2 linked regions of the Nothobranchius furzeri genome follow. The protein of the gene in region 2 interacts with the protein of the main gene of each other region in a biochemical or structural test. Links are inferred from orthologs where the notes say so. Each region holds a gene or a part of one and is shown on either strand. Other genes may lie near its edges. The genes, in order: mlx and mlxip.

Region 1 (5,539 bases), on a different chromosome or scaffold from region 2:
AGAGATTAAAGAGCTGAAAGCGGAGTGCTCTGGATACAGAGCACGCGTGGAGAAGATCAAGTCAGCTACGAACCATGTCACACCAGAGGAGAAGGAGAAGGTGTGCACCTATAAAGTCTCCGTTCTGGCGAGGTGGTCTGCTTTCCCCTGAAACACACGTTCATGTTTTCATTTGCAGGTTTACAAAGAGCAAGAGGTTTATGTGAAGGAGTGGAAAAAGAGGAAGAGATTGGTACATGTATTCATTTGGAGTTAGAAATGCCTTCACACCAGATACGTTTTCAGCAACGAGCATTTAATAATTATTTGGGTCTGTCAGGCTTCAGAGATGATGAACGCCATCCTGGAGGGATATCCAAAGAGCAAAAAGGAGTTCCTGGTGAGCTGAAGAAGCAACATCACATTTCCTACATGGAAAAACAAATCCTCCAAGCTTTGTTCTTCTACAGGAAGAGGTTGGCGTGGAGACGGACGAGGACTGTAAGGTGGTGGTTCCAAGTTCTTGAACAAGGAAGTGGACCACACATCGGAGCTTTTTGAGCCACTTTATTTAACATTTCTTTCGAATAAATAATAAAAGGAAAAAAAATCAAACACATTTGTACAAAAGTTAGCATTCTTATTGGCTAGACTACATGTAGCTACTGCATCGAGGGCTGATTGTGACCCTAAAGGCAACTGTGGTGTTTTCTCCCCTTTAAAGCATCTTCATTATCCTGAGCTTACATAGAAAGTCAGCAAATGATTCAAACCTCTAACAGGCTTCAGATAGTTTGCTGCATACATTATTATATAGAGTGAACTGTTCAGCTGTTTCTAAATCAACATTTTCACAGTTGTTAATACTGCCAAAACTGCTTTGGGCTCATTCGCTGGTCACCACTACAAAACTACGATCCTGCCCTTTTCTGCTGTTGGTTTTGCACTTTATGTTCTCGTATGCAAATAAAATATTAAGTCCATAAATTGAAGTTTCTCTCCTGATGGTGATTAATTCACCACCGGCCACCATGCGATGTCATCAAAACAGCATCAGCAGCAGTCCACTGAACATATACACAACAGGGCAGAGGGAAGAGTGCAGTTTTGACGTTACGGGAAAAACTAGAGAGACTTTAGTGGCTGTGTGTTTTTATCTGTGCGTAACCTTTTAAACATTTCAAACAGAAAAATATTAGAACATGAAACGAGCCAGACTTCCGCAGCAGATCATGTCCACAAGAACAAAACGTTCAAATCTGCTGCTGATCCTAGAGAATCTAGAGTCAGAGGTTTGGAATAAAAAAAACAAACTGATGCATTTTAGAGTTTCTGCTTTCACTGTAGCACAGAGCGACGTCACGGATCATGAAAACACGACAGCATTTAAAATCGGGCTGAAATTCAAAGAAGGCTCATTAAAATCAACACCTGCTAAATGAACCTTTTTGACAGGTCACCTGCAGCTAAACTGTGACTAAACACTAAAGCCTGTTGGAGACCTGTGGCATATTTACAACATTTATCCGCCTCATTCTTGGAACTAACCATTTATTTACCGCCACACTGAAGGCAGAGGACTTTAAAACCACCAGTGTGTTTCTCTGAGGCGCCACAGAAGCTGCGTTCAGCGTTGGAGCAGTGACCGTTGACAGGAATGGCAGACGTGCTGCGCCGGAAAAAAGGACCACATGTATAAATAAATGGAATAAGTCAGATTTTTGTAGCGATGAGGCTAAAATGTGTGCTAACATTTTTCTGTTTGAAAGCATAAGTTGAAATTTTCTCGTGTTTTACACTCAGCTCTATGGGAATGTAAACACGGTCAGAAAGTGGCTGAAGGCAGCTTTTTTTAAATTCCTGCTAAGAAAACACGATGAGGTAATCAACACGCAGGCGCAGAGTCACCGATGGGCTGACGCGTGCGAATACTGCACGGCCTGAAGGGTTTGCTCCATCCAGAGAGGCAAGAGCAAGTCAAAAGTCATTTTCTGGAAGTTAGCCGGAGGCTTCTCCTCGATCAATAAAGCTGGCCGTTGAGCTGCCGGAGCACGCCGACAACAGACTCCTGCAGCGTCTGAGGCAGAGCAGAAAAAGCACTAAATTATCTCAGCTGAGCGATCTGGTTTGCTGAGAAGGACGCGCCGGTGGCGTTCCTTACCTGTGGCTTGCAGTGCTCCTCGATCCAGCTGAAAACACAGGCTGACAGTTCCTGGAAGCTGCTCACTGAAACCGAGTTGCTGAAGGACACAAACAGGGAGTCCATGATGTTCTGAAAAAGGTTGAATTTGACCTGGTCAGACACCTGATCTTCTCCCTGCTGCGGGTTGTTCTGGTGGGCCTTCACTATGTGCTCATAGTTCCTGTTGGGAAAGACAGCAGGTTCAGAACAACACCACAAACCCTGCCTTTCTTAATATCCCAGATGGTTCCACTGAATTTCCTTACTGCCTTTAACACTTCTAGGTATTTAAAGGGACAATGTGCCGTTTTTATCGTTAATCTCTGGAAATATCCATCGAAATGTTGTTGAAAATAAATTAAATGGTGCCCAGTTGTTGAAAAATATTGGCAGATTCTTAACATGTAACCATAAAAGTCCAGTCTACATTACATGGGAGCGGGTCTAAGTCGTATTAGACGCCATGTTTCCTGGCTGCTACAGGAGCCCTTGAGGGCAAAATGCAATTACTGATTTGTAACAAGTGCTTACTAAAACTTCACCGTTCATAAACGTTGTTTTACACGTTTACCTCTTTACTCATTGTCACTGATGAAAGGGAGTCTGATGTGCTTGTCATTTTGCTGAAGTCTGCACTCCCCAGGGCTTTTTGACCCTAATGGGCATCTGTTGGTAAGGTCTTACTCCCAACACAAAAATACAGCTTGATTGCAACAATTCAGGTATCTACTGCCCCCTATCGCCAGGAAAAATACACACTGTCACTTTAAGCCTCAGATCAGACCTAGAGGATCAGTCTCATTTGCCCCCGTCCATGCTCGTCACTTCTGAGGTCCTAATGTGTCCTCCACACCACTGGTCAGACAGGACTGGGATGTGTTTACACAAGTCTCAGGTAGAAAGATAGTCCAATAAAAACCCGTCTTACGTTTTCATTATCTTAAGCGCCATCACTTCTTTCCTCAGGATGGAAACTTCCTCCTCTTGCTTCTTCTTTTCTTTGTGAAGAAAATGGATGTAGTCGATAGCTAAAGCCATAAAATACAGAAAAGCATCAACCAGCGACTTCTTTACAACACCGGAAGTTTAAACGTGGGGGTGTCGTTACAACTTCTCCATTTTGTAAATGAGCATTTGTTTAAACAAGAACGTTTATGTTCTCCTGATCCCAGTCATGTGATTGCGAGTATGTGCTGATACCGTGTCCCGATCCGATACTTCAGCAACGCAATTAAAATAAGAAAAAAGAATACATCCAAGTTCTCCTCTTTATTATTCATCTTTATTTCTTCTGGTATTTTTGTCATTTCCTTAATTTATTTGCCAAATAAATCACTCGTTCAAGAAGTGAATTGATTAAAAGTATGTTAATAATATGAATATATTATTAATAACAGATAAGGTGCCTCGTCGCCGTGCTGAGTGATGTGCATGGCATGATGTGCACGGTCGGCAGACTCACTTTTCTCTGCTCAACACCTGCAGAGCTGCGTGTGACGAGAAGGAAACTCACCGCGGCTCCAGGAGACCCGACGTTTGCAACCATCTTGACGGCGACACGTTAGCTCTGTGTTAGCCTGCTAGCTAACAGCTACATGTTATAGTGTCTGAACTCCACGTCTGTAAATTTTGTGACGTTTCTCTCTATGAAACAAAGAATATTGACGTAGCAGAACTTGTTCAAATTCAACCTAAGCCATTGTTATTCAGTTTAAAAATTTGTATAAGGATGAATGTAAAAGGTCACGTCCTTTCCCACCTGATTCCGAATGATTCCTGATCAAGAGATCGAGTCGGAGCCTCCCCAGGCAGCGGCTGGAGGTTTACTTTAAATATATGCAAACTGCTCAGCCTATTAACAGTGTCTGATTTGTTATTTTATGGCTAATAAAGTTGAAGAACAGCAGCAGGGAGGGCTATTCATCATGTCTCACGCATAACCTGCACATTTTAAAATAACTAAAAGGTTTTATTATTGTTTGTACAGAGTTCTTTTTTTCTACCAACAGTTCAGTGTAAAAATGTTCAAATTGCAAAAGGTTCCTACTTTTCTGCAGAACAGTAGCCTTGCTGATCTTCTGGGCTCCAACTGCAAACTCAGACTGCTGCTGGCACGTAGGAACGATGGACTGCAGGTCACCATAGCCTTTCTAATGACACATAGAAATCAATATTAACTCTTAAACAGCCAGAATTTTAAATCTAACTCTTATAAAGTGTGTCAGTTGGAGTCCTGAAGTCCTACCTTGATTGCATCTCTGCGCTTTTGCTCAGCTTGAGTGTGTGCTTGTCTCCGGCGATCTTTAAAGGAGTCTTTAAATGACGTCTCGTGCCTGTAATCGCTGTCTTCATCATCTGTTTGGGAACAAGCCTCTGACATCTGTACTCTCAATGAACTCATTTGCAATTATTTTCTTGCTTACATATCTGGTGTCAGTTTAAAAACAGAAATTATTTAAATCAAGTTTAAAATGAGAAAAAATGGACGGATGTTTTTAATTTTGTAAATCTTAAAATCGAATGAAAACTTGCATCATTTTTGTGTTGGCTCCTTCTACAATATAACACAGGGCTGTTTCTGTTTCAGCAGCAAATATATGTTTGCTTCAGTCCGGTCAAATTATAGACGGATTTTTAGCAAATGCAAAAAGGTAGAACATAGAGAGTTTATTTATTAAATATGGCAAGTTCACCTTCCCAGACTAGATTTTAAAGCATGAGACGAAATACCATCAAGACTCACCAGACAGGTTTGTGTTTGAATGTGAGACAGGAAACAAAATAAATAAAGGCACCATCTCTGTGATTTGTTGTTTCAACCTTTTCTTTAAGGATAAGGAGTAGTCAAAAGGCACGTTCACACTTATAAACTATCAGCAAGATAAAATCATCTGTGTTTTAAACACGATACCTGTATTTGGTACTGAAGAGGCACTGGTTGAGCCGATACTGTTGGCTCTGGAAACAATGCTTCCCTTTCTAGCAGTTTCAGCAAAGAAACCTGGAAAACAACCCAGATTTTATAAAAAGGGTTAAAAATAAACCCACCATTAACAAAAATGATTTAATTAATCATGTGCTATGTGAAAATGAAAAAGCATTCATTAGAAAAGTAAAAATGACTCACTTGTGTCAAACCCACTGTCACTGAAAGCCCCGTCTGTCTGTCCAGCCATCACCAAGAAGAAGAAAAAGGAAACCAGAAGCTGTGAGATTGGGTTGAGGAGGGGAAATGTGTGCTGCCCTAAATATGTCGACAAAACACAAACAGCAAGCCAATCCAAACCCCACTGAGCACTGTCCTGATTTGTCCAATTCAAGAACAGAAGATAAAATTGCTTCAATCACAGATCTGCTGTTTGATGTAGTGCAGCACAA
Region 2 (7,478 bases):
CATCAACAAGCGCAGGAAATAACTCCAACCCATCTGGCATTTGCCAGTCTACATTGGGCTCAAACAACATGACTCCTCCTCCAGGAAAAGCTCTCATGCGGCATTTCACCTGACAGATCTGACTGCGGGGGATTGTGAGTCCCTTCTTTCCAACTCTTAATACTGGACATTCTGACTCTTCCAGGGGTGACTTTGTGTGAACCACTGACACCAGACTTTCAGCATTAATCTTCTGAATTCTCAGAGCTTCTGAAAGGAGACTTACTAAGTGGCCATCGTCTCTTTGATCACCATTCCCTGCAATCATCTCCTGTATCACATTGAAGCCTAGTAGCGGGCTGCTTAACCCTCCGCGACTTACTAGCATGGGAACATAAATAGCAACTGAGCCGTGCCTGCTACTTGTGATCTCAAGAAGAACTTCTATCCACCCTTCAAATGGCACCTCTGTACCATTAGCTGCAGTAACTTTGAGTGGGTGGTCTGAAAATAGGCTTTCTAGTGGCCTAATTGTCACGTTTGGTAAGGCTTTTTGCACCCAAGACTTCTCCACAATACTTACTTGGGCCCCACTATCCAACAACATTTGAAGTTTGACCCCATCAAGATAACAGGTTACCATACATCTACCCCCAATCAGCTGAGCGACACGCTCCCTTTTGGACGCTTGGCACGATCTGGAGGTCTTGGTTGAAGAAGAACTTTTCTCTTTGGAATGCTGCTTCTCTGGGATTGGGGACTCTGCATTCTCCAAGGTCACTGGTGGTCCCCCCCCAGCGACCTCACCCGGTTTCCCGACAGAGTTCCCTTTTGTAAGCAGCCAATAGCTCTGTGTCCCTCTTTTCCACATCGGAAGCAGTGTGAGCAGACGTCGTTTCCTTGGGATACACATTGGTGACATTTCCCTTTAACTTCAGGCTTGGCTGACTGTTTGATGTGGGGAAAAGAGTTGTAAGTGTTTTCGGTCGCCACATTCGCTACTGGTGTGAGGGCTTTCTCCAAACTTTTGGCCAAAGATGACACTTGGGCTGTTAACTCCTGTATCGCATTGCGATTGGCCTGCACCTCTGCCTGCACTTGAGTGGCGTTCTGTTTATCACTGTCCAGCTGGGCTGTGTTGATACTGATTGCTTTTTGTTTGTATACCTGTCCCAACCTGGTTTTCCTCTCAGTGTCCTCCCTCAGTGATCTTGTGATCACCTCAAGTATAAAGTCATCAGTCACATTCATGTCTGAAATATGTGGTTTAAGATCTCGTCTGATGTATGAGCATTTTTCATTCATCCCCTGGTAAAGTGAATGAAGAAACACCCCCTGCACCAGTTTACCATCATATTGAAAGTCTGTACCTTGTTTAGAAGCAAACATTATACGCTGCTTGACCCCCATTAGTCTATACATAAACTGTTGTGGGCTTTCTTTGTCATTTTGCTTTGCGTTACTTAGTTCCTGGAACAATTCAGTGCTGCTTTTATCCCTAAGATGTGCTTTAAGGAACCTTGTTAACTCAGCAAGAGTCAGGGTGTCTTTGGTCATGAGCATATCTTTAAAGGTACCAGGCTTAATTACCTTGAGCACGGTTCTGACAACCTCAGTTTCTGAGAACCCCTCAGCTAGACCTTCATCAATTTGTTTACATAGACAGTTAAAACTCAAATCAGAAGCTGAGTCTGAGATTTGACCACCATGTATCTTAAACTCTCTATGTGGTAACAATGCCGCAACATCTGTCAATTTCACTAAACCAGTTACAGGATCAGCAATCACTGATGTTGAGACTCTCTTATTCATTACTGATGCCACTACTGCTGGTTCAGTCTCTGGTACAGCCACAGCATCCCCTTCATCAGAAGCTTGACCACGTTCAACAGTTACCTGGGATGCTTGCAGGTCATCAATGAGGTCACGAAATGCAAGCAGACGAGACATGCCCTGATCTTCGAGGCTCTTCAGTCGTTTACTTCTCAGAAAGTCAACGATAAAGTCAAAGAGCTCCACCTCGGTTGCATCCTCACCGGGAGCATCTTCCACCTCTTCTTCTTGACACCATACTGCAAGTTTATGTAGCAGGTCCCTGTTAGCGGCTCTGGTCAGCTGATGAAGCTGGTTCTGGATCTCCCACTGTAGGTCATGTAGAGTGGCCATGTCTGGATACCTGGCGTCAACCGTCACTACTGTTGTGCATCAGAAGGATATGGATCCCGCGATTCTTGGCTGATTAGCACCTGACCACCATGGTGCTAATCCCGGACGAGCCCCCAGAATTGTTGCCTCCCTAAGATGATGACCAGAGGGGCAACTGGTTTCCTGTTCAATAACGTGTGTCTGTGATAAAGAATAGAAAAAGGGACACACGTTGAGCTGATGTCAGTTTCACAACAGGAAGGTTTATTCTTCCTCTGTGCCCCAAAACGCTACTCGATACCACTGCGCGTAATGCGCCCTCTAGCGGCTGTATGCGGAATAGCATTGTAAACTGACAGGTACACACATACAATCATAACAGTTTTCCCCATCTTATTTCTGATACCAGATTTTACTAGAAAGCTATTTTCAACTCTCTACATCAGTCATTGACATCCAGTCCTGACTGGATAAAATTCTGTTTTTGTTACATTATGTTCAGTATGGTAAATTCAGCTGTCACGTAAAAACATCAAATCAATGAATTTATCCAGGGGCAGAGCATTCAAACTGTTTTATCAATAATGTAACTGTTTCCGTCTTGGCACTGGATATGCATTATGCAGACACAACTTCTGGCTTTTAAAATAAAAACTATCATTGAGAATAAAAGCTCTAAAATCAGCCAACTTCATAATTACTGTTGGCAAGATATTCAAAATCTAAGGGACTTTGGAAAGCAATAACACCTAAAATAATACTTGTTTTTGTTTACCAGAGATTTCACTGTGTATTTGGCTTGGAGAATAATAGCTATAAGAGAAGACTGTCTTGTCTTGTGCCGCTTCTGTTTATTTTGGGCATCATGTTGTGGGCGTGGCTATAACTAACCAATCAGAAACGCTGAAACAAAGGAACTTCCTGTTCCACAGAGAGGAACAGCTTTTTGTCAGCTGGTTTACAGCTACGTCAACTACCTAAACAAAGCTCATAAGTTTACACGGGCCGCTGAATGACCTGGAGCCGGCTGGATTATGGATTAAGTGACAACTCCGCATACATGGCACGGAGTTGGGCAACTTTAAAAACCGGACTCGAACGCGGCGCCACTGGCCAGCTTCATGAAAGGGACGGTGTTATTGTCCTAGCTCGCTGGCTAACGTTAGCTATTTGTTTGCACCGATACGGCTAGCAGGGAGATGTATCAGCGGCAGGCGGACCTTCGGCCGGCGGTCAACGTAAAGCAGGAGCAGGATGATGACTCGGACACGGAGGAGAGCCAGCTGCTGGGGCTACGGAGGGCGGACGGACTGGAGTCCCAGATCATCCACAGCGGACACTTTATGGTGTCGTCGCCTCACTGCGAGCACCCCCCGAAGAAGGGCTACGACTTCGACACTGTGAACAAACAGACCTGCCAGACGTATCATTTTGGCAAGGCGAGCATGTCGCACCTCTCTATCGACGCGTCCCTGACTAAACTCTTTGAATGCATGACCCTCGCCTACAGGTAAGCTGCTACACTCACCTGTCACATGGGCACTTTTACTTTAGCCCAGTGTGGTATCCAGTCACACTCACGAGTCTAATATTCATGTCATTTCCTGTTGGACCAGTCATCTGAAGAAGTTTGCAAGTATCAGCAAAAATGAAAGTAGTCTGCGAAGTAAACACCTCCTTTCACACGTTTTACACCCAACTATATTAAGTTGTGCAATAATTGTTAGCATGAGGACTAATTGATGCGCAGTAACTTTGTCTAAACCAAAAAAGATATAAATTAAAATGTATTTAATGTTTTAAACAAATCTAATTAGACTTGTGTTGGTATTTTATTTGAGAGTGGACATTGTAAGACCAATAGGATCAGTTGAGTAGCATTATTGAGCCAAAATGAGCTTATAGGCTACGTTTTTTATATCTTGTTACAAATTAAAGGCAACACGATGACATCTGTCATGATATGATGTGTAATGTTATTGCTGAGCTTTTTGGAGTCTCGTATTGACGTAGAGGAGTGAGAAAATTAGCTAAATTAACAATAGTTTGGTAATAATGACTCGTTTTTACATCAGCTGTCTGAGTAATCAGCTTTTGTATTAATTTTAAAAATTAGTGCAAGAAAATGTATGATTTCAAAAGCAGTTTTTAAGTTTTTCAAACAGTTGCACCACTGATTTTGCACATAATCAATAACAGTTTGGCTTTTGGTTTTGTACCGATGGATTAAAAAAACGTTATTCACCCACTTTTAAAAAAACTGGATTGGATGCTTCCTTACCAGTGAATTATAGGCCAATCTCCAAGCTCCCTTTTTTGGGTAAGAAGCTTGAAAAATGTGTCTATACTCAACTCCTGGACTTCTTTAAGGACGTTGATATTTTAGAGACCCTCCAATCAGGTTTTAACATGTTGCATTGTACCAAGACTGCCCTTATAAAGGTCATTAACATTCTTTTAGCAACAGATGGTGGCAGTCCAGTGCTGCTGGTCCTATTGGATCTTACAGCAGCTTTCGATACCGTAGACCAGGAAGTGTTGCTCCATCGCCTTGAACATTATGTGGGAATTTCTGGGCAAGCCCTAAATTGGTTTAGATCATGTTTACATGACAGGATGGTTTGTGTGAGGATGGGTGGTTTCTCATCGGGCTTCTCACATCTGCCATGGGGGATACCGCAGGGTTCAATACTGGGACACTTGCTGTTTTCATTTTATATTCTCCCATTGGGTGACATTTTACGAAAGTTTGGAATTGGATTCCATCTCTATGCTGACGACTGCCAATTGTACTTGCCTCTACATGGCGCCGGTGATCACACGATAAAACATTTTTTTGGATTGTCTGGCAGAAATAAAGATATGGTTGGCAGAAAACTTCCTGTGTCTCAATGGGAAAAAAACAGAGGCACTGTTGTTTGGTCCGAGTGGACATGTTGATTTTTCAAACGTAGACTGCGTGAACTGAACTCCTATTTGGGTGTTTCAGCAGTCAGTCTTGGCTTGAAGATGGACAGTGCATTCTGCATGGATGCTCATGTGGGTACTGTAGTATCCTCTTCATTTTATCATTTAAGACGTTTGGCTGAAGTAAAGCCGTTTTTATCTAGACGTGGCCTTGAGACTGTTGTTCATGCTTTTATTATCTCACGACTCGACTATTGTAATTCCGTTTTATTTGGGTACTGTAAACCGGCTGCAGCTTGTCCAGAATGCTGCAGCAAGACTCTTGGACAACAAAAGGAAGCATGAACACGTGACACCAATTTTGGCTGCTCTCCACTGGTTGCCTGTTGATTTTAGAATTTGTTTTAAACTTCTTTTAATGGTGTTTAAGGCGCTGAATGGTGTGGCTCCAGCCTATTTGACGGAGTTGCTGCAGCCATATGTTCCGGGCCGGTCACTCCGCTCTGAGAACCAGCTGCTGCTTGTTGCTCCTAAGGCTAGGTTGAAGTTGGGAGGGGACAGGGCGTGTTCTCTGTTGCAGGTCCGAAACTGTGGAACGCACTGCCCCTAACTATTAGGGGCTCTCCATCAGTAGCAGTTTTTAAAATGAGGCTGAAGTCCTACTTTTATGATCTGGCTTTTAATTCTGTGGGTTAGCAATTGTTAATGTTTTATATTTCGTAATTCTTATTTGTGGTTTTAATTATGTCTGTAGCGCTATATGTTTTATTGTTTTATTCTTTTGTTGTACAGCACCTTGGTGGCATGCTCATGCCTGTAAAGTGCTTTATAAATAAAGGCTGAGTTGAGTTGAGGAAGCTTGAAATCATTTGAGGGGGAAATCTATAAAAATGTATGATTTAAAAAGCAGTTTTTAAGTTTTCTTCATCCTCAAACACTCAGTATTTTTAATAACATTTTTTCTCTGCATAAGTTGATAATTCAGCCATGGACAATGTTGAAATAATACTTATACACATGTTTCAGATCAGTCTTTGTTATTTCTTGAATTATCCAACACACTCGAGTAGGGGTAGACCGACATGTACCGTCGGCAATGGCCGATCTAAAGTCAAGCACAACCTCAGGCAGCCTGGTGCTGTTGCAGAATTTAATTTAAATATATTTTACATTCACCAATAACATCTGCATAATAAATACTCCAATTTAACTTTATTTAGGTGTCTGACTTTAACACTGAAAAGTGCACAAGTTGAGGTTTGTTAGTTAAATTCAGAGTTCAAAAACTGATTCAGCTTCTGACATTTTGTGCATCAACTGGTGTCGTTAGTGACATTTAAGCATGAAAATAGGATGGAAAACACCTGAATATCGGCCATGAAAATCAGACCATAAAAATTGGCAGGACCCATCGGTCATCGTTTGATCATGTCTCCTACATATCGGTATCGGCAATAGAAAAACCAATATCGGTCGACCTCTACTCTAGGGTCCAAAATTAATTTGTATTAGTAGGTCAGTCATAAGCAATTTTAATAATTATTATTTGATAAATGCTTGTGACAGTAACATTCATCCTTGTACTTTTTAATTAACAAAATACCAGAAATCTTATTTCAAATTTTTTTCTTTCAAAATGCACTGAAACCACATAATTGACATTGCCTCACCATGTGAAACCAGGGTTATTATTTACATGTGCAAAAGCATTTTACATAAATGTTAATAGAAATTCAGCTGATGGTAGTAAGATATTAATTGTACGGCTCATGTTACTCCTGGTTTTCTATTTACAGTTGCAGTCTTGGTGCCAGCTGGTAGAAGGATTCCCTCGGACTAAACTTCTCACTCACAGGAATAGACCAGTTGCTTATTTTTGTTGTCATCGTTCATCTTACAAAAATGATCTCGAGTTTGTTTGTTTGTTACAGTTTTTAGCGTTAATCCTCAGTAAAGAACAGGAATGCTATTTTCTCCGACACTCACGCAGCTTGCTATTGTCATTCTGTAACCAAACCGGGACACACACGCACACACTCCGATGACCTGGATTGTCAGGATACTGTTTCACTTGCATGATCCTGTGAACACAAACCAATCACCTTTGGAAAAGAAAGTGCAAATGTAGTTTGTTTTAACAGTTCCAGATATTACACAGGAAGTTTATTTGTATTTTGACCCGTTTATCTCCTCCTGGTGGGCATTGAGCCAAATTTAGGCCATTAAAATAATCTGTTAGCAGATATGTGACCCACTATCAGCAAAATGTGCCTCTTGGTGAGAGTGATGCTGGTTTTGTGGTAAAAAGAGCAAATATTAGTCTTGTGAGCTGCAAGGCTTTTGTGTTCTTATCAAATTCACAGGTTTTAACTCAAATCTTTAACAAATTAACCAATGAAACATCTGATCTCATGATGTGACACACATTTGTGAGAATGTGAAACTGA

What was found.
Region 1: the proteins of mlxip (region 2) and mlx form a complex in vitro, tested with the Homo sapiens proteins (2 studies listed by BioGRID, with this or other methods). The link is inferred for Nothobranchius furzeri from reciprocal best matches to the Homo sapiens genes MLXIP and MLX.

What each region holds. Positions count from the first base shown.
Region 1 is NC_091745.1:7,585,392-7,590,930, forward strand, and holds the end of mlx (max-like protein X), read right to left. Parts: intron 5,406-5,539; exon of another isoform or gene 5,338-5,405; coding exon of another isoform or gene 5,326-5,337; coding exon 5,289-5,325; intron 5,163-5,288; coding exon 5,073-5,162; intron 4,517-5,072; coding exon 4,407-4,516; intron 4,312-4,406; coding exon 4,209-4,311; intron 3,190-4,208; coding exon 3,090-3,189; intron 2,343-3,089; coding exon 2,141-2,342; intron 2,057-2,140; coding exon 2,000-2,056; 3' UTR 1,776-1,999; downstream 1-1,775. Other genes in the region: psmc3ip (homologous-pairing protein 2 homolog), read left to right, coding at 1-100, 179-232, 320-379, 450-506. UniProt on the Homo sapiens protein: Transcription regulator. Forms a sequence-specific DNA-binding protein complex with MAD1, MAD4, MNT, WBSCR14 and MLXIP which recognizes the core sequence 5'-CACGTG-3'. The TCFL4-MAD1, TCFL4-MAD4, TCFL4-WBSCR14 complexes are transcriptional repressors.
Region 2 is NC_091757.1:46,783,506-46,790,983, reverse strand, and holds the start of mlxip (MLX-interacting protein), read left to right. Parts: upstream 1-3,039; 5' UTR 3,040-3,323; coding exon 3,324-3,634; intron 3,635-7,478. UniProt on the Homo sapiens protein: Binds DNA as a heterodimer with MLX and activates transcription. Binds to the canonical E box sequence 5'-CACGTG-3'. Plays a role in transcriptional activation of glycolytic target genes. Involved in glucose-responsive gene regulation.